Saccharomyces cerevisiae S288C: one gene and its partners. The gene in region 1 interacts genetically with each later gene. Each region holds a gene or a part of one and is shown on either strand. Other genes may lie near its edges. The genes, in order: CYS4, AUR1, FKS3 and UBP11.

What was found.
Region 2: mutations in CYS4 (region 1) and AUR1 together harm fitness more than expected from each alone (negative genetic interaction), as found in Saccharomyces cerevisiae (2 studies listed by BioGRID).
Region 3: mutations in CYS4 (region 1) and FKS3 together harm fitness more than expected from each alone (negative genetic interaction), as found in Saccharomyces cerevisiae (one large-scale study listed by BioGRID).
Region 4: of CYS4 (region 1) and UBP11, changing one suppresses a phenotype caused by changing the other (phenotypic suppression), as found in Saccharomyces cerevisiae (one study listed by BioGRID).

Annotation. Positions count from the first base shown.
Region 1 is NC_001139.9:793,293-800,581, forward strand, and holds CYS4 (cystathionine beta-synthase CYS4), read left to right. Parts: upstream 1-5,250; coding exon 5,251-6,774; downstream 6,775-7,289. Other genes in the region: Ras family GTPase RSR1, read right to left, coding at 1,382-2,200; YGR153W (uncharacterized protein), read left to right, coding at 2,800-3,453; GTO1 (omega-class glutathione transferase), read right to left, coding at 3,506-4,576; cleavage polyadenylation factor subunit PTI1, read left to right, coding at 7,254-7,289.
Region 2 is NC_001143.9:433,965-437,638, forward strand, and holds AUR1 (inositol phosphorylceramide synthase), read left to right. Parts: upstream 1-1,615; coding exon 1,616-2,821; downstream 2,822-3,674. Other genes in the region: BYE1 (Bye1p), read right to left, coding at 1-913; mitochondrial 37S ribosomal protein bS6m MRP17, read right to left, coding at 3,133-3,528. UniProt on the Saccharomyces cerevisiae protein: Catalytic component of the inositol phosphorylceramide synthase which catalyzes the addition of a phosphorylinositol group onto ceramide to form inositol phosphorylceramide, an essential step in sphingolipid biosynthesis.
Region 3 is NC_001145.3:878,837-887,016, forward strand, and holds FKS3 (putative 1,3-beta-D-glucan synthase), read left to right. Parts: upstream 1-2,322; coding exon 2,323-7,680; downstream 7,681-8,180. Other genes in the region: SCW10 (putative family 17 glucosidase), read right to left, coding at 227-1,396; 1,3-beta-glucanosyltransferase GAS1, read left to right, coding at 8,167-8,180. UniProt on the Saccharomyces cerevisiae protein: Required for spore wall assembly.
Region 4 is NC_001143.9:631,121-638,639, forward strand, and holds UBP11 (ubiquitin-specific protease UBP11), read right to left. Parts: upstream 4,060-7,519; coding exon 1,906-4,059; downstream 1-1,905. Other genes in the region: phosphoenolpyruvate carboxykinase PCK1, read left to right, coding at 32-1,681; BAS1 (Bas1p), read left to right, coding at 4,731-7,166.

The DNA of each region.
Region 1 (7,289 bases):
TGCAATACACTGTGTAAGAAGATGTCATAAAGATTGAGAAACGGTCATCAAACTTAATGTAAGCAGAGACACGAGGATTGATGATGAAGTAAGATAATGTGCGACAAGGAAGAAAAAATAATAGCATTATGTAGAGATATCGATTCCCTTTTGTGGGCGCTATGTTCTGGAGGAGAGTTTCTAGTATATTCCTTATCCATAATGTTATATGTGATCTTTATCAACAGTGGAATCCCAACAATAATGCAATTATTCACCCATTTTTCACAAGCAAGCAAGCATTATGAGAGAAGAACGAATGTACAGTCATTTAGATGATAAGATTGGAAGTAGGTCATGATAGTCAGGATTATGTAAAGACACTTGGTGTAACCCTGTATCGGCTGATTTATAATATCGAGAAAGATAATATAAGAAGCGCCTGAGAGTCAGTGGATCGATTATCGAAAATAGAATAGAGACGTTCACGGAGACCCACTGAATGTTTCGTATTAAAGGAGGGATGACTACTAAACCATTTTCACCGCTACTGGTGGCCATTTTGTATTCTTCCATTTACAAGAATTGCTCCCGACTTTTGTTCCATCAGTGGACGATAGACCATTGTCAAACACAGTAATTCTATTTTATTCTTGAGATGAGATGCCGCAATATGACCTGATATGAATCACCCTAAATGTCCGATCTAAACAAATAAAAGGCGTGCGAAACAGCCTCACGACGAGATATGAAGTCGAAAACATCGGCCTAATTTCTGTGCTTTTTAGAAGACTACTCAGATTTTCAATATCAATACAGTGAGTTAGATCTCAGGTTGAGAAGAAACACTTTGATTTTACTAGATAGGAAAGAAAAATGGACTAATTAATCAATCATTTTGTCATCGTTGAAACTTGATAACGCACGCTAAACGATAACGACTATGTTGGAGGGAAAACATTAACGATTACTCTTTTAAGTAATTGCGAAGTATATCTGAGACTAAAGACCCTCTGAATTAATTATATCAATCAACATAAACTATAAGAAACTACAGTGTGAGCTTTAGTTACGAGAGTGTGGATCTGTTCATTTAATATTTTTTATACGTAACGCAGCATCTACCGTAAAATCCCATAGATTGCGGGCACATGGCGCAGTTGGTAGCGCGCTTCCCTTGCAAGGAAGAGGTCATCGGTTCGATTCCGGTTGCGTCCATATTTTTAACATTTCATTTTTTTTGGGTTTAAATTTATTTTCAAACATTATTAATTGATTTCTTTAAAAACTTATACAACGTATGCTAATACTTTAAACTAAACCTTTTAGAACTATAATAAAACTATTTCAAGTAAAGTCTTTTTATCTGATATCTTGATTCATTTATAATAAAATTAAGTGACTATAGAATAGTGCAAGTGGAAGCGTTTTTCTTCTTTTTCTTTTGTTGTGAAGTAGCGCTAATTCCTGTCCTGTTGCTAGAACCAGATTTCGGAACGGCATGTGACGGTTTGTGCTTTTCATTAACCGGAGTAGATTGTTTAACTTTAGCTTGTCCTTGTGAAGATTTGTTATATAAACCTTTTGATGATTGCTTATTGTTTGATTGTTTCGTATCCTGTTTCGCAGAACTAGGGAGCCTGGTTGATGGAGACTCGATTTTGCTAAATTGTTGACTTTGATTTCTTGCGTCTTTAACTGCAACACTTTCCATTTCATTCCGAATGATTTGCCTAACTAAATCAACGAACACTTCATCCACATTGCTCCTCAACAAAGCGCTTGTTTCATAAAAGGGAACTCTACCCCATTTACTGCTTACCTCTATACCTTCTTCCACACTTATTACCCTTTCATTGATTAGATCAGCCTTGTTACCTATTAGAACCATTGGAACGCGATCGGAATCTTTGATCCTAAGGACCTGTTCTCTTAGCTCCATTAATTCTTCCAAAGATTGCCGATCTGTTACTGAATATACCAACAGGAACCCCATTCCTGACTTTATGTATAATTCTCTCATTGCAGTAAATTGTGCTATACCCGCTGTATCTAAAATTTCCAGGTCGAATACCTTGTTATCGATCTCGATGGTTTTCCTGTAAGAATCTTCGATCGTTGGATCATACGTATCCAAATAAACTCCCTGTACAAACTGCACGGTTAAGCAGGATTTACCGACACCACCAGCACCCAATACTACTAATTTATAGTCTCTCATTAGTCCTAATGTTTCCTAGCCAAATATTTCTAAGCGATGATAGAAGCCAAAATATTAGAACGTTGTATGTAAATGTTCTATATCGTTACTAAATAATAGTATTATTGTTCAGTGGAGAGGATGAAATTTCAAAAACTTCTTGGCGTAGTTAAGAACGAACGCAATGGTTCTTTTTTTCGAGATCGAGCTCTACTTTACTTTTTTCTTTTTCTGTCCTTCTCTCTTTTCTTTTTAACCTTTTTCGACGATATTTCGCGTTTGAGAATGTCGAGGATGAATGCGCTTTGACGCGAATTAGTTGTGAGGCTGACGTTGTGATAAAAAGGCGATGATTCTTGGGAATATACAGTCTGTTTCCACTTGCTAGATAAAATGTATGATATTCCAAAAATGCCTTTCTCTATTGAACTGTATGACTGAGATACGCCTGCTTTTACCTTGTATATTATGAGTACTATTCGCCTTTTCCCATAAAGTTGTTTTTTTCTGGGGTTTATGTGTATCGTAAATGGTACAAAATAATAAAATTCTTATCTTGAAAATACTGTTTAATACTTTTCATCATTACTAAATAGGTTACGAAAAGAGGTCTTTGAGAAATGGGAAAGGCCTGTTTGAATAAAGAAGTCGGCACTTACGAATGTGAGGGGGAAAGAGATACCTACTCATTTTTTACCTCTCTCTCAGATATACAGGATTCAAGTAGTAACGAGGAACAATGCGGTGTAGGAAGTATATTGAGTGAAGATAGTTTCACGTTTGAAGGGTCCAACGTGAGCATACGGTTATTTTCCTTGGACTTAAATGCCTTGAATGAAAATGAGAATGGATCCAAGAATCCTGTGAAATTTACCATTCCGCCAAAAATAGAACAAAGAAAGGAAGCAAGACAAAGAGAGAAACGTTTAAGGAGGGTGGCAGTACTACCTGAGAATTCGAGAAACTACCTTGTTGAATCAAGTATGGATTCAAGTAGGGAATACAGTCAACCATTTTTTGACTGGAGGCATGAAATGGTAGAACATGGAGAGGAGAGTGTAAAACCGTGTGGTTGTCATAAATCGAGAAAAGCAAAATGCTTCAAAGAACTGGAGATGGAGAATATAGAAAAGGGCGATATAAAGAAGAGTCTCTTTTACAGAGACATAATTGAATGGTGCAGAGACTATGAAGTCAATAAAACTAGGGAAGTCTGTGTTCCGTCTATACACGAGTTTTACCTACATGGAAATGGAAGTGACAACCTCTTTTGAAGTATAGCCATGCATATAAATATATGTGTGTGTAAGAAAATATTAGAAGTTTTCATAATCTAGAAATGTCAGGCTTTGGGCCTAATGGCACTATACCAAACTGATTGATCTTGTTCCTACTTACTTCCATCCTGATGTAAAAGAGCTTAATATGATTAAAATCTGTAGTAAATCTAAACTCTGCGTAATTCCAGTATAGATTAATCAACCACAAATGAAGGTACGGGAAACCATCCCTTATAGTTTTCAAATTGCATTTGAAGTGCTGCACGTACACGACGTCAAATCTAATTATTGATGGATACAATCTGATATCCGCTTCAGTTAACCTCTGTCCTAAAACAAAATATTTAGCCAAGATTTTCTGTTTGTTACCACTGAATTGCTCCTCTAAGCGCTTATAATTTTCTTTTAGTACACATTCCATCTTCTGCAAGTTTTCAAACAGTGTTTTTACTTCAGTTTCGTAAATCTTTCCGTTTTCTGCTAATCCGACTTTATAGACACCAAGATTAATCTTCGGATGAACCCATTTGATGTTCTTATCAATCTCGTCTATTAAATCATGCGGAACTAGATCAATCACGTTCGTTTCTTCGCTTTGGATAAATTCATCAAACACGCCACTGTTCAAAATTCTTATGATATCGCCACTCTCATTGTTAACAATTTTCCTTGTTTTAGAATCCCACAGAACAGGCACAGTGAACTTTGTACCGGGGTACTTAGGATCATTTAAGTAGTACAACTCGCTTAACCTTGATATATTTTCCACCGGGTCGAAAGCGCCATCCACGAACAACCTTGCAGAGTCATTGTTCACATCACCTAACTCCTCAGATTCGTCTAATTTAGCTGAAGCAATGCCACCAGTGGCAGTAAAGAATCTCTCTTTATATTTTTCCGGCCGGTGTGGAGCAGGTAAGAAACGGGCACCCTTGGAGTCTAATTGCCAGTGAGATAACACAAGCCCTAGAACAGGTTCTAATTTCTTCAAAGACCTGGCAAGAATGGCTCTATGAGTGAATGGACACCCAAGGGCCCCGTAAATATAATACCTTCCTTTTTCTGGTTTAAAAACAGAATGTGTCTTAGAAATTGTTCCCTTGTAAGATACTGACATGGCTTACTGTTTATGATTATTTTTACGAGTATTTTCCTCTATAAGTGGCCATCTCTCCAATTGGCAAAGTCAAGACTTTTGTTATGTCAATATGTGCTACCAAAAATCAAGGGTATTTTCCCACCAGAGCTTATCAATGGCAACTGTGAGATATGAACAGCAGTTAGTAAGGGTGTGTTCTCATCCGACCCTCTGATTCATTTGGTGGCCATTACATTTTCCCTCAATGACACATTCCCCTATTTCATAACTGATTAAAATGGTAATGGCACGTGATAGTAGTGGCTCACAAAACAAAATTTTCTTTCTCAGCGCTGACAAAGCTTCATTTGCATTCTAACCTTATCACAACAACTTCAACTTCACCCAAGTAAGGATAATCAGCTCTGTCGTGACTGATAAATGCTATATCCGGCATATGCAGTCCACACGGCATTACCGTTTCACTAATTTATTGCCATCTTCCTCCACAGTTTTGCACCGAAAGGAAAAAAAGAAACCAACACCGAAAATTTTTTTCTCCTAAAGGTTAAAGTAAACGCAAGGCACTTCACCAGGCTTGTATATATAAATGTCGTGATGCTTCTATGCCAAAGTAAAAGGCAACACTTGAAGATTTCGTTGTAGGCCACTTGCTCAAAGGACATCTAGATAAATACGACGTAAGAATAAAAATGACTAAATCTGAGCAGCAAGCCGATTCAAGACATAACGTTATCGACTTAGTTGGTAACACCCCATTGATCGCACTGAAAAAATTGCCTAAGGCTTTGGGTATCAAACCACAAATTTATGCTAAGCTGGAACTATACAATCCAGGTGGTTCCATCAAAGACAGAATTGCCAAGTCTATGGTGGAAGAAGCTGAAGCTTCCGGTAGAATTCATCCTTCCAGATCTACTCTGATCGAACCTACTTCTGGTAACACCGGTATCGGTCTAGCTTTAATCGGCGCCATCAAAGGTTACAGAACTATCATCACCTTGCCGGAAAAAATGTCTAACGAGAAAGTTTCTGTCCTAAAGGCTCTGGGTGCTGAAATCATCAGAACTCCAACTGCTGCTGCCTGGGATTCTCCAGAATCACATATTGGTGTTGCTAAGAAGTTGGAAAAAGAGATTCCTGGTGCTGTTATACTTGACCAATATAACAATATGATGAACCCAGAAGCTCATTACTTTGGTACTGGTCGCGAAATCCAAAGACAGCTAGAAGACTTGAATTTATTTGATAATCTACGCGCTGTTGTTGCTGGTGCTGGTACTGGTGGGACTATTAGCGGTATTTCCAAGTACTTGAAAGAACAGAATGATAAGATCCAAATCGTTGGTGCTGACCCATTCGGTTCAATTTTAGCCCAACCTGAAAACTTGAATAAGACTGATATCACTGACTACAAAGTTGAGGGTATTGGTTATGATTTTGTTCCTCAGGTTTTGGACAGAAAATTAATTGATGTTTGGTATAAGACAGACGACAAGCCTTCTTTCAAATACGCCAGACAATTGATTTCTAACGAAGGTGTCTTGGTGGGTGGTTCTTCCGGTTCTGCCTTCACTGCGGTTGTGAAATACTGTGAAGACCACCCTGAACTGACTGAAGATGATGTCATTGTTGCCATATTCCCAGATTCCATCAGGTCGTACCTAACCAAATTCGTCGATGACGAATGGTTGAAAAAGAACAATTTGTGGGATGATGACGTGTTGGCCCGTTTTGACTCTTCAAAGCTGGAGGCTTCGACGACAAAATACGCTGATGTGTTTGGTAACGCTACTGTAAAGGATCTTCACTTGAAACCGGTTGTTTCCGTTAAGGAAACCGCTAAGGTCACTGATGTTATCAAGATATTAAAAGACAATGGCTTTGACCAATTGCCTGTGTTGACTGAAGACGGCAAGTTGTCTGGTTTAGTTACTCTCTCTGAGCTTCTAAGAAAACTATCAATCAATAATTCAAACAACGACAACACTATAAAGGGTAAATACTTGGACTTCAAGAAATTAAACAATTTCAATGATGTTTCCTCTTACAACGAAAATAAATCCGGTAAGAAGAAGTTTATTAAATTCGATGAAAACTCAAAGCTATCTGACTTGAATCGTTTCTTTGAAAAAAACTCATCTGCCGTTATCACTGATGGCTTGAAACCAATCCATATCGTTACTAAGATGGATTTACTGAGCTACTTAGCATAAATAAGAACCCACGCTTCAAATAAAAGCAAACATAGAAGCAAAATCCGTCATTCCTTTCCTATTCAATTGCACCGTTCTCTTTATATAACTACTTAATTAAATAGCGCCTATACGAAGCAGCATTGTTCTATTATTTTTACAAATTCCTTATCATGCATGCATCACATCAGTGTTTGAATCTGTTAACTTTTCACTTTATTGCTCTTACCCGACTCTGAAGAAAAACAAAAAAACAGCGACATGTTGGAAAGGTCGGGCAGTAAAGCAGAATTTCAGAAATACTAGTACGATTGTTTGAGGTCTTGCGAAACCGTGCATTCATAATAGCACCTTTTTCAGTCGCTCATCCGGTCGTCCTATCTGTAAACGTCACTGTCAAACACGTTGCATTGATTAGATTTTATTATTTTATATATAGGTATATTTAGAAAACTCACAACTGGAGAAGACGAAGAACGAAGAACGAAGGAAAAAAATTGATGACAGATCCCAGAAGAAGAACAGGCCGTCATTTC
Region 2 (3,674 bases), on another chromosome or scaffold:
TCTCTGTGTATATCTTGTCCAAAGTACCAAACTCGACGTTAAGGCAAGCTTTGTAAAGTTCTTCTTCCAGATTGTGCGCAAACTCTTGCGATATCGATATAACGTCTTTCCCATCAGGAAGCTCATAAAGTTTTGCCTCAATTGTTTCGGGAACGATGAATTTGCTAAATAAGGTAGAGAACATTTTTTCTGCATTATACCTCAGTTTGTGTTCTTTTTCGCTTTCAAAATCTTTCCTAGTAGGCATTTCGTTTTCGGCAGTATCAGACTTGGCGGCATCAATGCTTTTATTCCTTTTTTTTGACCCATTGGATTTCTTCACCTGTTTGGATTTGATATGAATTCCTTTGGCACTATCGGGGCTCCTTTTTCGTTTCCTAGGGCTTTCCTCATCAAGAAAGACATCTGCATCATTGTCATCATGGTCATTTACGGGCTTGTAAACATCATCATGGTAATCTTCATCCTCTGAAACCTCTGCCTCCTTTGACGTTTCCAAATGTGCATACAATGATGGGTCGCACAATTCACAGTAGTACTTAGAATCTTCACTCATTAGCCCATCTATGGTGTCTTTACCATCAGTCATACATTTAATATGCTGCCAAGTGTCACAGCCATCGCACTGTACCATGTCGCCATGCGAATATTCTGCAGCATCGTAGTTTTCATTGTTCGCCCCACACAGACATCTAACATAGCCCTCATCCGCTTCGTCTACTTCGTCTGTTCTTACATTTTCAGTATCTTTCCTTGGCTCCTGAGAAGAATCAGACTTCTTATTCTTCTCTATGGCTGAATCAACTTTCTTTTTAGTTCTTTTTTTCTTTGGTGCTTCAGTCTCCTCCTGTAACAAATACTCAATATATTTATTCTGACCCTTATTAGATCTTGAAGAAGTACGGACAGACATAATAAATTTAAACTAAATAAAAGCTAAAAGTAAAAGAGAACCTAGGATAATCGATAGCTCCCTGTGTATAGAACAAGTCAAAATACTAAGATCTCGTCAACCTATCCTCTTTCATTGCAAGCCTTTTGGCCAAACTGCAGTCTGGGCATCCCTTTGCATGTCTTGTGAAATAGTATCCATCTCTCCCCAGCTCCCAGAAATGATATGAAAAGTTATTCGTGAAGAGTGATCCTAAAACTGAAAAAAGGAAAAAACAAAAATGAGCTAAAAAAACCACAACAAAAGAATATCAACTTCATTGCTTGGCGGGTCATCGCTTTTTTATTTCTTTCTGTCAAAGAATAATAAAGTGCCCATCAGTGTTCATATTTGTTACAAAGTGGTTTTCTGATTTGGTACTACTGCAGAGGCGTATTTTTTGCTTCAGTTACCATAGCGTAAGAACACTAGCGACTTTTGTTCGTGAACCAACAGAGTAGGATTTCTACTGCTACATCTCTTAGGTAGTTGGTTAGTCCGATCGCTCACTTTTGGTTGTTGTTAAGTACTTCATAAGTTTATCCTTTTCCTTTTTCACACTGAGCTACTTTGGGTATAGCTTTTGGCCCAAGGATCTTTGAATTTTCTCCAAAAGTACTTTATTTTATATCCTACAGGTTGCGGTTTTCATATTTTAAAAAGCTTTTAATCATTCCTTTGCGTATGGCAAACCCTTTTTCGAGATGGTTTCTATCAGAGAGACCTCCAAACTGCCATGTAGCCGATTTAGAAACAAGTTTAGATCCCCATCAAACGTTGTTGAAGGTGCAAAAATACAAACCCGCTTTAAGCGACTGGGTGCATTACATCTTCTTGGGATCCATCATGCTGTTTGTGTTCATTACTAATCCCGCACCTTGGATCTTCAAGATCCTTTTTTATTGTTTCTTGGGCACTTTATTCATCATTCCAGCTACGTCACAGTTTTTCTTCAATGCCTTGCCCATCCTAACATGGGTGGCGCTGTATTTCACTTCATCGTACTTTCCAGATGACCGCAGGCCTCCTATTACTGTCAAAGTGTTACCAGCGGTGGAAACAATTTTATACGGCGACAATTTAAGTGATATTCTTGCAACATCGACGAATTCCTTTTTGGACATTTTAGCATGGTTACCGTACGGACTATTTCATTTTGGGGCCCCATTTGTCGTTGCTGCCATCTTATTCGTATTTGGTCCACCAACTGTTTTGCAAGGTTATGCTTTTGCATTTGGTTATATGAACCTGTTTGGTGTTATCATGCAAAATGTCTTTCCAGCCGCTCCCCCATGGTATAAAATTCTCTATGGATTGCAATCAGCCAACTATGATATGCATGGCTCGCCTGGTGGATTAGCTAGAATTGATAAGCTACTCGGTATTAATATGTATACTACAGCTTTTTCAAATTCCTCCGTCATTTTCGGTGCTTTTCCTTCACTGCATTCCGGGTGTGCTACTATGGAAGCCCTGTTTTTCTGTTATTGTTTTCCAAAATTGAAGCCCTTGTTTATTGCTTATGTTTGCTGGTTATGGTGGTCAACTATGTATCTGACACACCATTATTTTGTAGACCTTATGGCAGGTTCTGTGCTGTCATACGTTATTTTCCAGTACACAAAGTACACACATTTACCAATTGTAGATACATCTCTTTTTTGCAGATGGTCATACACTTCAATTGAGAAATACGATATATCAAAGAGTGATCCATTGGCTGCAGATTCAAACGATATCGAAAGTGTCCCTTTGTCCAACTTGGAACTTGACTTTGATCTTAATATGACTGATGAACCCAGTGTAAGCCCTTCGTTATTTGATGGATCTACTTCTGTTTCTCGTTCGTCCGCCACGTCTATAACGTCACTAGGTGTAAAGAGGGCTTAATGAGTATTTTATCTGCAATTACGGATACGGTTGGTCTTATGTAGATACATATAAATATATATCTTTTTCTTTCTTTTTCTTAGTCAGGATTGTCGTTTAGCATAATATACATGTAGTTTATTTAATCACATACCACTGATTATCTTTAGAATTTTATAAATTTTTGAAATAAATGGGTGGCTTTTAATGGTGTCTATGTTAAGTGAGGCTTTTAGAATGCTCTTCCTGCTTTGTTTATTATATGTGTATGAAAGATATGTATGTATTTACATGTGTTTGTAGCGTCCCCAGTCAAAACCTGTGCGCTATACCTAAATGGATTGATAATCTTCATTCACTAATTCTAAAATAGACTTCTTCCCCAAAGAACGGTGTAACGATGAGGCTCTATCCAGCTGCTTATCTAAATCAACTTTAACGATGGATGATCTTATGACACGGGGATCTTTCTTTAAAGTTCTTAGAATTTCAGACTGTACCGCAGCTGATGAATCAAACAGCATTAAAAAGTGATATGCTCGAAAATGTTTTTCCTGGTCTTTCTTCATTATTTTAGGAAGATACCTTATGCCCATGGGTACAATGTCCCTCACCACACCTCTGTTTTGAATAATCAGTTTCCCGATTGTGGAAGACAATTCTTTTGCTTCCAACTTTGGCGCATTGGAGTTGGTTATGCGAACAAGTCCGATCAGCTCATAAAGCATCTTAGTGAAAAGGGTGGTTTTGCGTTATTCTTTCCTCTGTTGAAGCTTTTCTATTTTGTTTAAGCTGAACTAGTGGGAGTTTCCATTAAAAGGCTAAAGTCTTGTTGAAACTTTTCCGGGTTAGATGATAACTGCGAAAAGATAGA
Region 3 (8,180 bases), on another chromosome or scaffold:
ACACAAACTATAGAGCAGCGAGGACCCGTAGCTAAAAGGAAGACAAATTGAAAAATCTTTCACAAATGAGTATAGAATATATACTTTACACAAAACACATAAGTAAACAATAACGTGATAAGAATAGGAGAGCAAATATGGGAAAGGGCTTATTTCCCCCATATTTGGCTGCTTTTTAAGAAAAAGGGAAAAAGAATGATCATAAAGTAAATGAAGTTTCAGTGGTTTAATCACTTGATAGAATACCCCAGTATTTTTCAACACCGTATTGCCCATCATCTTTCCATAGATCATTGAAGGCGGTAAATAAGTAAGCTGAAGAGCCGCAGGAGCTTTTGATAGAAGAAATGGCGGCTTCTTGGTTTGCTTTAGATGGGACAGCTTCGCCGTAAGTATCACCCTTAGATGGCCAACCAGTTTCGGTAATAACGACGTCCTTTTTCCCACCACAAGCAGTGTAAACCCTTTCGATTTGTTCTAGTACCCATGGTCCTGCATCTTGGGCCGCAGTATTTTCATCGAAGTATGCATGGGCGTTGACAGCCATATAGTCAGAATAATTACACAGGTCAGGGTTATTTATAACAGCAATGAAGGTATCAACGGAAACGACTGAGCCTGTATAACCAGCAGAGGTTAAAGCTGACTTGGCCGTGGAAACGTATTCACCGACTTGCGTCGTAGTGGCAGAACCGCCATTGACCAGTTCGTTACCGACAGAAACAGTGGTAATATCATCCCAGGAGCCATAAGACTCAACTGCAGATTTAATAGTATCAACGGCGTCTTGAATTTTGTCAACGTAATATATGCCTAAGAATAATTTCTGGCTTGAAGTTTTAGCTTGCAAGACATTCTCAACCTGACTACAGTCAACGCCATATAATCTGATGTTGTCAAAACCAGTCAACTGTTCTAAATCTGAGGCGACTTGAGCAGTAGATTTACAGGACCCATCATCATTGTAAGGACTGTAAGTAATACCCTTAGCACCGGAGGCTGAGATACTAGATGAAGCGGAGGATGAAGCTGAAGATGAAGTTGAGGATGAGGATGAGGGTGAGGATGAAGTCGAAGAACCAACCGTAGATGCTGCCTCGGAAGATTGAAGAGTGCTGGTTTGTTGTTGAGAAGTGACGACATTAGCGGAAGTTGTTGGTTCTAAAGTGGATGTAGTTGCTTGAGAAGCAACTGCAGTACTGCTGGTAGTAGCTACAACAGCATTCTCGTTCACTGGAACAATAGTTTCGCCGCTGTTACCGGAAACGACAACAGTAACCTGCGCATGGACTGTGGCAGTAACAACGTCACGCTTTTCATGTTTATGGCGAACAGCAGGAGCTCCTAGAGCTCCGGTTAATAATGCAGATACAGTTAGGAAATTTGAAAAACGCATAATGGAATGAAGACTTTTTTTGCGTTAATACTATCTTTTGACAATTTGAAAAAAAGAACAGTAATAGTAAAGGAGAGACGTGACAGTTGGATGTTCAGCTCAATATTGCAAAAGTATAGTATTTAACTCTTTTATTTGGGCCTATATAATAGATGAATTTAAAATGGGAAAAATATGATGCACGCTTCAAAGATACACTGTAAGACAAACTTCACGCAGACATCTTTCCCTCCATTATAAATACTACAGTTTTGAAACAAACGTGGAAAAGAAGGCTTATGGATACGGCTCTCGATGGAGAAGTTACTGTACACATGAAAACACGAATAACTTTCAAACGCGTGCGACGTTTGTTACCATATTCAAACGTTTCAACGCGAATTTTTTGTCCGCTGTTTCGCGCAATTAAAAGTCTTGGCATTTTTCTCTTCAGGTTTTACTTCGTCCGAAATCTTCGAGGACTTTTCCGAAAAAGGTAAATTACTGCAAACGGTCTTTCGCGAAATCTAGACCGAAGATCTCTGGGGATATGTAAGGAACAAATATTTTTGTCATTGAGGGCTTAGATAAAAAGAAAATCTAGATGTCTTGCCTGAGAAAAAGAAAGAGGGAGGCATTCTTTCTTAATTATTACCGTGCCTGGTATCAGCATAAGTGAAGGCCGAGACAGCTTTCGTATATGGCTGTTGCACGTCTCTGAACTAATCATTCTCGCCCATCAAGATCGGACCATCTTGCCTAGTGCGGCAATGATGGTTAAATTATGCGGGTAAGAGTTTTACATGGTCAGCGGCTATTTGGCGAGAACCTTCAAAAGTAATTATGCCTTCTAGGATTTGCCACTATACAACTTAATCATTAAGGGCTGTGGAACTGCATATTGGGAAAAGAAAAACATACTGAGAAGGAAAGTTAAGGAGTTGAATATGGATTTTATGAGTCCCAAGTTTTCGCTAACTGACGTTGAGTATCCTGCTTGGTGCCAAGACGATGAAGTCCCAATAACAATGCAGGAAATTAGAGAAATTTTTGTGGAGCTCATGGATAAGTTTGGCTTCCAGAAATCTTCTATGGAAAATATGTATCAACATTTAATGGGACAGCTGGACTCCAGGGCAAGTCGTACAGGTGCTCAAAATGCTTTAGTATCGCTACATGTTTCATATATTGGAGGCGAACACGCAAATTATAGAAAATGGTATTTTGCCGCTCAGCTCGATTTAGATGAAGAGATCGGGTTTCAAAACATGCGACTACATGGAAAGGCACGCCAAAGAAACGTAAAAATGGCGAAGAAAAGAGGCGTATCGATAAAGGAACAAATTAAGCAATGGAATGAGAAGGAGCAAGAGTTCATCAATAACCATCCAAAGATCACACTGACTCAAGAACAATTGGAAGATCAGACAAACTTGAAAAGTGCAGACTACAAATGGAAATTGAAAATGAAAAAATTGACGCCCGAAAATATGATAAGACAGCTGGCCCTTTATTTGCTTTGCTGGGGTGAAGCCAATCAAGTCAGATTCGCCCCAGAATGCCTTTGCTTTATTTTCAAATGTGCACTTGATTATGATATTAGTACGTCAAGTAGCGAAAAAACGGTGAAATCACCTGAGTATTCATACTTAAATGACGTTATTACTCCCTTATACGAATTCCTAAGGGGCCAAGTATACAAAAAAGACGCAAAGGGGAACTGGAAACGAAGAGAAAAAGACCACAAGAATATTATTGGTTACGACGACATCAATCAATTATTTTGGTACCCGGAAGGATTTGAACGTATTATTTTAAACAATGGAGAACGATTAGTTGACAAGCCATTGGAGGAGAGATATCTTTACTTTAAAGACGTTGCATGGTCTAAAGTATTTTATAAGACATATAGAGAAACCAGAAGTTGGAAGCATTGTTTTACCAATTTCAATAGATTCTGGATTATCCATTTTGCACCGTTTTGGTTCTTCACCACATTTAATTCCCCCACTTTGTACACCAAGAATTATATACAGTTATTGAATAACCAGCCTACACCCCAAGTTAGACTATCAGTGATTGCCTTTGGAGGCACAATTGCATGTTTAGTTCAAATTTTAGCCACCGTGTTCGAGTGGGGATTTGTACCTCGAGAATGGCCAGGCGCTCAGCATTTATCGAGTAGAATGATTGGCTTACTTTTTTGTCTTGCAATCAATTTGGGACCTTCCGTGTATGTTCTGGGGTTTTTCGAATGGGATGTTCATTCAAAATCTGCGTATATCGTGTCCATCGTCCAACTAATCATTGCATTTTTAACCACTTTTTTTTTTGCTGTCAGACCTTTGGGCGGCTTATTTCGTCCATATTTGAATAAAGACAAAAAACATCGGAGGTACATCTCATCGCAAACCTTTACCGCTTCATTTCCTAAGCTGACAGGACGCAGCAAATGGTTTTCTTATGGGTTATGGGTATTTGTGTATTTGGCGAAATATATTGAGTCCTATTTTTTTTTGACCTTGTCCCTCAGGGACCCCATCAGGGTCCTCTCTATTATGGATTTGTCCAGATGTCAAGGTGAATATTTGTTGGGTCCTATTCTATGTAAATGGCAAGCCAAAATTACATTAGTTCTCATGCTGCTTTCTGACTTGGGCCTGTTTTTTCTCGACACTTACCTTTGGTACATTATTTGCAACTGTATTTTTTCCATTGTACTGTCATTTTCTCTTGGTACTTCAATTCTCACGCCATGGAAGAATGTATACTCTCGATTGCCAAAAAGGATATATTCCAAAATCCTTGCTACTTCAGAGATGGATGTAAAATTTAAAGCAAAAATACTGATATCGCAGGTTTGGAATGCCATTGTTATATCAATGTATAGGGAACATCTTCTCTCCATTGAACATTTACAAAGACTCTTGTTTCAGCAAGTTGACTCCTTAATGGGAGACACAAGAACCCTGAAATCGCCTACATTTTTCGTTGCACAAGATGATTCAACGTTCAAGTCAATGGAATTTTTTCCATCAAATTCAGAGGCAAAAAGAAGGATATCCTTTTTTGCCCAATCCCTGGCGACCCCCATTTCAGAACCTGTTCCAGTGGATTGTATGCCAACTTTTACCGTTTTGGTACCCCATTATTCAGAAAAGATTCTGTTGGGCTTGAAGGAAATTATCAGGGAAGAATCTCCTAAAAGTAAAATCACGGTGCTTGAGTATTTGAAGCATCTACACCCTACAGAATGGGAATGTTTTGTTAAGGATACCAAACTACTAAGCATGGAAAAGAGCTTTTTGAAAGAGGCAGAGAGCAGTCATGATGAAGATAGATTGGAAATTCCGGATGCTCTGTACGATCCAAGGTCTAGCCCGCTTTCTGACCATACTGAGTCCCGGAAGTTGCCCACAGAAGACGATCTTATTAAGGAGAAAATTAATGATTTGCCATTTTCTTACTTTGGCTTCAACTCATCAGAACCATCGTACACCCTGAGAACAAGAATCTGGGCATCATTGCGGACGCAGACTTTGTACCGAACCCTTTCAGGGTTTATGAACTATTCCAAAGCTATTAAGCTACTGTATCGAATTGAAAACCCCTCTTTAGTTAGCTTGTATCGTGGCAATAATGAAGCATTGGAGAATGACTTAGAAAATATGGCTAGCAGGAAATTTAGGATGGTTGTTGCTATGCAGAGATATGCAAAATTTAATAAGGATGAAGTGGAGGCAACAGAACTACTTTTAAGAGCCTATCCAAATATGTTTATATCTTACCTTTTGGAAGAATTAGAGCAAAATGAATCTGAGAAAACGTACTATTCGTGCCTGACTAATGGCTATGCTGAGTTTGACGAAGAAAGTGGATTAAGGAAGCCAATATTCAAAATTCGCCTGTCGGGCAATCCAATACTTGGCGATGGAAAATCGGATAATCAGAACCATTCTATTATATTTTATCGTGGTGAGTATATTCAGGTGATTGATGCAAACCAAGATAATTATTTGGAGGAATGCCTAAAGATACGGTCTGTTTTAAGTGAGTTCGAAGAGCTTGAGCTTAATCCCACAATCCCATACATTCCTGGCATTGAATATGAAGAAGAACCACCGCCCATCGCTATTGTTGGTTCAAGAGAGTATATTTTTTCAGAAAATATTGGAGTGTTAGGTGATATTGCTGCAGGTAAAGAACAGACTTTTGGAACCTTATTTGCTAGAACGTTGGCTGAAATTGGTGGTAAATTGCACTATGGGCATCCCGATTTTCTCAATGGCATTTTTATGACCACTCGTGGTGGCCTGTCTAAGGCACAAAGAGGATTGCATTTAAACGAGGATATATATGCTGGAATGAACGCAATCTGCCGTGGTGGAAAGATAAAACATAGTGATTACTACCAATGTGGTAAGGGTAGAGATTTGGGATTTGGGTCCATCCTGAATTTCACTACTAAAATAGGTGCAGGTATGGGGGAACAGCTACTATCAAGGGAGTACTATTATTTGGGGACACAACTTCCCATGGATAGATTTTTATCGTTTTTTTATGCACATCCTGGTTTCCATCTGAATAATCTTTTTATTTCCTTTTCGGTTCAACTGTTCTTCGTTCTGCTTTTAAACTTGGGTGCGTTGAACCATGAAATTATAGCCTGCTTTTACGACAAGGATGCACCAATTACAAATCTTGAGACACCCGTTGGTTGTTATAATATTCAGCCTGCATTGCATTGGGTATCGATATTCGTACTATCAATCTTCATTGTTTTCTTTATTGCCTTTGCCCCTTTGCTGATTCAAGAAGTTTTGGAAAAGGGTATTTGGAGAGCAGCTTCAAGGTTCCTACATCATCTTCTTTCAATGGCCCCATTATTTGAAGTATTCGTCTGCCAAGTTTATTCGAATTCTCTATTGATGGACTTGACCTTTGGGGGAGCAAAGTACATATCTACAGGTCGTGGGTTTGCAATAACACGCCTCGATTTTTTTACGCTCTATTCCAGATTTGTTAATATATCGATATATTCTGGTTTCCAAGTGTTCTTCATGTTATTATTCGCGATTATTTCCATGTGGCAACCCGCCTTATTATGGTTTTGGATTACAGTCATTTCGATGTGCTTCGCACCTTTTATTTTCAATCCACATCAGTTCGCATTCATGGATTTCTTCATTGATTATAAAACCTTTATCCACTGGTTATTCTCAGGTAACACGAAATATCAAAAAGAATCGTGGGCAAACTTTGTCAAGAGTTCTCGATCAAGATTTACGGGCTATAAAAGTAAAACTGTAGATGATATTTCCGAAGATTCAGGCCATGATTCAAAGAAAGCGAGGTTTTGGAACGTCTTCTTTGCAGAACTATTTCTACCTTTCTGTGTGTTCCTCTTCAACTTCACCGCTTTTTCTTTCATTAATGCACAAACAGGGGTCTCTGACTCAACACCAACTAGCGCTGTTTTCCGTTTGTTGCTCGTAACTTTTTTGCCAATCTTTCTTAACTCAATAGTGCTTTTTCTATTATTTTGGGTTTCACTTTTTGTGGTTCCTGGATTGTCATATTGTTGTAAAGACGCAGGTGCCGTGATTGCGTTTATTGCACACACTTTCTCGGTTTTGGTCTATCTTTTAGATTTCGAACTGATGTGGTTCTTACAAGGTTGGAACTTTACCCGTACATTGATACTGCTTATTACGTGCATCAATATGCATCTGATTCTTTTCAAGGTCTTTACGACGATATTCTTGACAAGGGAGTATAAAAACAATAAGGCACATTTGGCATGGTGGAATGGTAAATGGTACAATACGGGCATGGGCTGGTCTATCATTTTACAGCCCATACGAGAATACTTCGTGAAGATTATGGAATCTAGTTATTTTGCAGCAGATTTCTTTCTTGGTCACTTCCTCTTATTTATACAAACGCCCATAATATTGTTACCATTTATCGATTACTGGCATACAATGGTGCTATTTTGGATGAATCCAAGAAGTATTATCGCGCATAAAAGAATTTTGACTCGAAAGCAGAGAGCATTAAGAAGTAGGATAGTTTCAAAATATTTCTCTCTATATTTTGTGATGCTAGGTGTGCTCCTTTTTATGCTCATCGCGCCATTCTTTGCTGGTGATTTCGTATCTAGTCCGCAAGAATTGCTGGAAGGCACCCTTTTCGAAGGAATCTTCCAACCTAACAACCAAAACAACAACGATACTGGTCCAAATGCTCCATCGACAATCCTGACTACAACACCAACTTTACCTACCTTTAGGACTGTCGCATAGGGATAAAAAAAAAAAGTTATTTTGAGTAGCTGATAAAGCGAGCTGGTGCCTATCATAGCCGGCTCAGACTTTTTATGAATTCACAGGCCAGCCCTGGCTATTCTTTTGCGTACTTTTAGTTCGATATATTTTCGCGGCTCGCGTTTTGTTTGCTTCTTATTTTACACTGAGTTTTCGTGCCGCAAACGTGGAGATGGGAAAAAGAAAAGTCGGGAAAATAATGAGAAATTTCTACTTTTGGTATTCCTCATACAGCCTGCGCGGTTTATTAGTAAAATACCCGATAATCCTCGAGGTTTGAAAAACTTTTCCCTCTACTACTGTTGACACGGATTTTTTTATTTAAGAGGAAAAGTCGTGGTTGTTTTCCTCGAACAAATTAGATATCCATAAATAGTTGTGTCGTTTTATTAAGCTATTTCAAAATCAGTTTTTATTTTTAAAGTCTGATAAAACAAAAACAACAAACACAGCTAAATCTCAACAATGTTGTTTAAATC
Region 4 (7,519 bases), on another chromosome or scaffold:
GCAACTAATTATTCCATAATAAAATAACAACATGTCCCCTTCTAAAATGAATGCTACAGTAGGATCTACTTCCGAAGTTGAACAAAAAATCAGACAAGAATTGGCTCTTAGTGACGAAGTCACCACCATCAGACGCAATGCTCCAGCTGCCGTTTTGTATGAAGATGGTCTAAAAGAAAATAAAACTGTCATTTCATCAAGCGGTGCATTGATCGCTTATTCCGGTGTTAAAACCGGAAGATCTCCAAAGGACAAACGTATTGTTGAAGAACCTACCTCGAAAGACGAAATTTGGTGGGGTCCGGTCAATAAACCATGTTCTGAAAGAACATGGTCTATCAACCGTGAAAGAGCTGCAGATTACTTGAGAACAAGAGACCACATTTATATTGTCGATGCATTTGCAGGATGGGATCCAAAATACAGAATCAAAGTCCGCGTTGTTTGTGCCAGGGCTTACCACGCTTTATTCATGACAAATATGCTTATTAGACCTACAGAAGAAGAATTAGCCCATTTTGGAGAACCTGATTTTACTGTCTGGAACGCTGGTCAGTTCCCAGCCAATTTACACACCCAGGATATGTCTTCAAAGAGTACTATAGAAATTAACTTCAAAGCAATGGAAATGATCATTTTAGGTACCGAATACGCCGGTGAAATGAAAAAAGGTATTTTCACAGTTATGTTTTACTTGATGCCTGTGCACCATAACGTTTTAACTTTGCACTCTTCCGCCAACCAGGGTATTCAAAACGGTGACGTTACTTTATTCTTTGGCCTAAGTGGTACCGGGAAAACCACTTTATCCGCAGACCCACATAGATTGTTGATCGGCGATGATGAACATTGTTGGTCCGACCATGGTGTCTTCAATATCGAAGGTGGTTGTTACGCCAAGTGTATTAATTTATCTGCCGAAAAGGAGCCTGAAATTTTCGACGCTATCAAGTTTGGTTCTGTATTAGAAAACGTTATCTATGACGAGAAGTCGCATGTAGTCGACTATGACGACTCTTCTATTACTGAAAATACTAGATGTGCCTACCCAATTGACTACATTCCAAGTGCCAAGATTCCATGTTTGGCGGACTCTCATCCAAAGAACATTATCCTGCTAACTTGTGATGCTTCGGGTGTTTTACCACCAGTATCTAAATTGACTCCTGAACAAGTCATGTACCATTTCATCTCTGGTTACACTTCTAAAATGGCTGGTACTGAGCAAGGTGTCACTGAACCTGAACCAACATTTTCATCTTGTTTCGGACAACCCTTCCTAGCCTTGCACCCTATTAGATACGCAACCATGTTAGCTACAAAGATGTCTCAACATAAAGCTAATGCGTACTTAATCAACACCGGCTGGACTGGTTCTTCCTACGTATCTGGTGGTAAACGTTGCCCATTGAAGTACACAAGGGCCATTCTGGATTCTATTCATGATGGTTCGTTAGCCAATGAAACGTACGAAACTTTACCGATTTTCAATCTTCAAGTACCTACCAAGGTTAACGGTGTTCCAGCTGAGCTTTTGAATCCTGCTAAAAACTGGTCTCAAGGTGAATCCAAATACAGAGGTGCAGTTACCAACTTGGCCAACTTGTTTGTTCAAAATTTCAAGATTTATCAAGACAGAGCCACACCAGATGTATTAGCCGCTGGTCCTCAATTCGAGTAAACGAAACATGTTCGTTCGATATGTTCAATCCAAAAAAAAAAAAAAGAATTAGAATTATTTCGACATCATAAATGTTCGTAATATATTATTTTGTCAATTTTTTCTCTTCCCATTTCAGCTTTTTTTTAATAACTGAAACTGGATCAACAAGCACATGTTTTTCTAATTAATCTTTCAAACATATTTATGTATATACATAAGGAAAATTCAAAAATCCGATGCAATTAACAGAATTCTTCTTCATAGTTCTCTTCATCCATTCTTTCGTAGAATAAGACGTATACCTCATCGCTAGACATTTCTGTTTTGCCGGCTTCAAAGTTGTTGCGATCCTTGCGATGTTGCTGTATATAATCGTCATCAAATGTAACCCAAACTTGTCTATTCAGTCCAATTTCATGGCTCTTTTCTTTGTTCACAACAGAAGTATAGTGTCCATTGATAAGGTTACCGGAATGATTCACCGTTCCATATAACTTGTATCGAATCACTTTACCGTTCTTTAAAATAATGTTCAATATCAAAGGGTAGGTTATTACAGTGCTGTTTTTTTTTGTTAAATCATAATAGAACCTTGATAAATGAATGACAAGTATCGGAGGTAAAACTATAAAGTCTAAACTCTTAATCGTGGTTAACTTTTTAGAATTTCGCTTCTTTGCATTTTTTGTTGAATCATCGCTGCTATGGTGATGATGGTGATGATGGTGGGGTGATTTTGACCTTGATCTGGAATGAAAACCGAATATGGTTGATTTTTTCTTCTGGCTAGTAATTTCTTCTTTTTTGGATTTAGAATCAGTAATTCTACAATTAGGACAATCCCAAGCATTGTCGCCTGACAGTTCTTCATCGCCTGTAAATAAGTTTATGCAATCCTCTAATTTAATTTTTCTCGACTTACTTGTAAAGCTATACAATGATAGTTTTGGAATCGCAAGTGACAGAACATAGAAGGTAGAATAGCTATAAGAAGAATTACCACAGCGCTGACATTTCAAAATGTTCTCCAACTGCCCTCGATATATGTGATCAATTGGAGATAAACCATCAGTAATAACATTTCTCTCGTACCATTTCTCGTATTTGGATGGGTTAACTTGTAAAGCATTCGCATCATATGACACTAGATCTGGATAATACTTGACAACATTTTCGTTCGAGAGCTCTTCATGTATTCGTGCTAAAACTATTAGTAGAAATTCCTGTGTATCCTGTTGATCATCTGGGATGTTCAAATCTGGCCTTAACTTCTTGCACATTTTTAAGAATCTATTTGGTATAATCGCTCTTCCTCCATTCAAATACATTTTTTTGAACAAAACGTAAATCGAGCGGGAAAGTTGGACTTCTTTCGGATATTTGTTAGTATTGAGGAATAGCCTATATTTCTTGGTTAAAAACAAATCCCGAAATAAGGTAGTGCCAAACAGACATTGAATTATACTGTTAATATAGCATGTATTGCATGGATTTTGCAGGCCAGTAATAGATAACTCTGATAACAGATCATTAGAATCTTCAATTACTGGTAGATTGTAAGCTTTCGGGGCCGAAGATTCTATGGCCTCGATCTTTCCTTCTTCCTCCTTTGGCTTTTCCACCTTGGATAAAGAGGATGAAGAATCTTGGCTAGAATCTCTGATTTGTGACGAAACCTCCAAGGAGTGCACGGGGGGAGCAGTTGCTGGACTAGACAGCGTTTTGAATAATGCATCCTTTCCAGTACTGAGTTTTAAATACGAGGGTTTTGATAATGCTTCTTTGCTTGTGTAGTACGCCACTTCAGAACCAGCTTCCAATTTATTACTTGATGCTATCTGATTACTTTCCCTGACTATGTCCTCTTTCGAATTATCATTTGTTGGTTTTGTTAGCTCATTCGGTATTTCATGTAGTGAGCCATCAAACTTGTTATGTATTGACAAAGAGGCCATATGAACAGGTAAAGGCCGTAGCGGTAAGGAGTAGGCTCTTTTTCTTTTTATGGTCCTGCAAATTCCGTTTGACTCCGCTAAATACCGGTCAACAATAACAGTACTTTCATCTCTTACCACTTTTAACACATAACCCATCACGTGTTCGTCTTGATAGTCGTTTTTTAGCTTTGCGTAACTGCTGTAGAGATTATTTCTTGTTTGGAATTGTAACGATTGTGGAATAATAAGGTACAGATAATAACAACCAATAATAAATGCTGTCAAAGCTTCCATTTCCTGATTGATTTCTAAATCCCTCAGGTAAACATTAAACAGATGAGCAGCATGGTCTAACAATCCTCTTAAGTTCTTTAGCCGTAATTGCGAATAAAACTGTTTAATATCTACTTCATATACTTTTCGAACTAGGTTTAGAATTTGATCTGGGTTTAATAACATTGTCTTTATGACTTCCGATTTAGCGAAAAGAAAACGGAAAGTAAGATCAATGCCACGGTTATTTAGTTTACTGAAGATCCTGAAAGACTACTAGCAGTAGCAGTAACCTTTCAGAGCTTATAATCAACCTAATGATTACTCAGCGCACAATCTAAAAGGGTTTCTCAACTAATTCTCGAAGAAATGTCAATCCCTTTTTTAAGCACTCCGGAAAAACTTTATAATAGATGTGGGGAAATCACCTTTGACGATGTGCAACGGAGAAACTATTTTTTTTTTTCTTTTTTTCTTTTTTTTTTTTTTTTTGGTCCGAACAATGCGATGAGCCAGACGAAGAAAAAAATAAAAAATGAGAATGAGTAATTATGTTAAGACCTTTAGAAGAAATAGGGTCCAGTCACAGAATAAAGCCCCAGGAAACTTTAAAGCAATCGAAATTAACCAGCTATATTTATATAATAAGAAATTTTTCTTATTAGTTTACTATAAAGGACTAGTGTACGTTTTTTGTGTTTAATTATTTGCTTTCTGATAATCCGGTTTGCTGATTTGAATCGTTCTCTGCAACAATTGTTGATCTCTAGTGGGGTAAACAAAATTAGTTTTGTTTAAAACTTTTGTTGTAGCGTTTTTGCTCTTTTTTTTTTATCGCAGAATACATTTTATCGAGAATGTCGAATATAAGTACCAAAGATATACGAAAAAGTAAGCCAAAAAGAGGATCCGGCTTCGATTTACTTGAAGTGACTGAATCACTTGGCTATCAGACACACAGGAAAAATGGAAGAAATTCATGGTCAAAGGACGACGATAATATGCTACGATCGCTAGTAAACGAATCCGCAAAGGAGTTAGGCTATGAGAATGGACTTGAAGACGTAAAAACAATTCAACAATCCAACCATCTTTCTAAATGTATTGCTTGGGATGTTTTAGCTACACGATTCAAACACACCGTAAGAACTTCAAAGGATGTAAGAAAGCGTTGGACAGGATCTCTGGACCCAAACTTGAAGAAAGGTAAATGGACACAAGAAGAGGATGAGCAGCTCTTGAAAGCTTATGAAGAACATGGGCCTCACTGGCTGAGTATCTCCATGGATATCCCTGGAAGAACAGAGGATCAATGTGCGAAAAGGTACATTGAAGTGTTGGGACCTGGAAGTAAAGGTAGATTAAGAGAATGGACGCTCGAGGAAGATTTAAATCTGATAAGTAAAGTGAAGGCATACGGCACGAAATGGAGAAAGATTTCGTCGGAAATGGAATTCAGACCAAGTTTAACGTGCAGGAACAGATGGCGGAAAATTATTACTATGGTTGTGCGAGGACAAGCATCAGAAGTAATAACAAAGGCTATAAAAGAAAACAAGAACATAGACATGACAGACGGAAAACTCCGACAACATCCAATCGCCGATTCTGATATACGCTCAGATTCTACACCGAATAAAGAAGAACAGTTGCAGCTATCTCAACAGAACAACCCTTCATTGATAAAGCAGGATATATTGAATGTTAAAGAGAACGAATCGAGCAAACTACCAAGATTAAAGGATAATGATGGACCCATTTTAAATGACAGCAAGCCACAAGCATTACCTCCCTTAAAAGAGATATCTGCACCTCCACCAATCAGGATGACGCAAGTCGGTCAGACTCATACCAGTGGTAGCATTAGGAGCAAAGTATCTTTACCAATTGAAGGTCTTTCTCAAATGAACAAGCAAAGTCCTGGAGGAATCTCAGATAGCCCACAGACAAGCCTTCCCCCAGCATTCAATCCAGCATCTCTCGATGAGCATATGATGAATAGTAATAGTATTTCAGATTCTCCGAAGCATGCTTATTCTACTGTGAAAACTAGAGAACCAAATTCCTCTAGCACACAATGGAAATTTACATTAAAAGATGGTCAAGGTTTGTCAATTTCTAACGGAACTATTGACAGCACAAAATTAGTAAAAGAATTGGTTGACCAAGCTAAGAAGTACTCTTTAAAAATTTCGATACATCAACATATTCACAATCATTATGTTACATCCACAGACCATCCTGTCAGCAGCAATACTGGATTGTCAAATATAGGAAATATAAATGGAAACCCTCTATTAATGGATAGTTTCCCACATATGGGTAGACAACTGGGAAATGGTCTTCCAGGGTTAAATTCAAATAGTGACACTTTTAACCCAGAATATAGGACTTCTCTGGACAACATGGATAGCGATTTTTTATCAAGAACACCCAACTATAACGCATTCAGCTTGGAAGCAACTTCACACAATCCCGCTGACAATGCAAATGAACTTGGTTCACAAAGCAATAGAGAAACAAACAGCCCGTCTGTATTTTATCCTCAAGCAAATACATTGATCCCAACTAATTCTACCGCTACAAATAATGAAATCATTCAAGGAAACGTTAGTGCTAATAGTATGTCACCGAATTTCAATGGAACAAATGGCAAGGCACCAAGTTCGACGGCATCATATACAACGAGCGGTTCAGAAATGCCACCTGATGTAGGTCCTAATAGAATAGCGCATTTCAACTATTTGCCACCAACTATACGGCCTCATTTAGGCTCATCAGATGCGACAAGAGGTGCTGACTTGAATAAGTTACTCAATCCATCTCCAAATTCAGTAAGAAGTAACGGCAGTAAAACTAAGAAAAAAGAAAAAAGAAAAAGTGAATCATCTCAGCATCATTCTTCATCATCTGTGACAACCAATAAATTCAATCACATTGATCAGTCGGAGATATCAAGGACTACATCCAGATCTGATACTCCATTGAGAGATGAAGACGGCCTGGATTTTTGGGAAACGTTAAGATCCTTGGCTACTACGAATCCAAATCCTCCAGTTGAAAAGTCAGCTGAAAATGATGGTGCCAAGCCTCAAGTGGTACATCAAGGGATTGGCTCACATACAGAAGATAGCAGCCTAGGTTCCCATAGCGGAGGATACGATTTTTTTAACGAACTGTTGGATAAAAAGGCAGATACACTGCATAATGAGGCTAAGAAGACGAGCGAGCATGATATGACGTCAGGAGGTTCTACCGATAATGGGTCAGTCCTGCCACTGAATCCTAGTTGAGAAGGCAAGGCCGAAAAAAAACACAAATCTTTCAATTGTTTAACATATTAGTTTTGTAATAAGCATAAGTGTATATTATACATAGCACAAGATGGATAATATTCTCTGAAAAAAACGTGTAGTTTCATGACTCGCATTTTTTTTTTTTTTTCTTTCATGTTGATTAACATACTTGAATTCTGTATTTAAGCTGTATAAAAAGTTGTTCTATTTCATATACGGCGATTTTGCATAATTAAGAACTTTGCCTTGTACACTATTTTACTAGGGTATTCTTCCAAGATTTCTCTTCTTATTTTTTCCCTTTATAAGTCATTGTAGCAACATAATTTCCTGGAAATTTTAAGGGAATA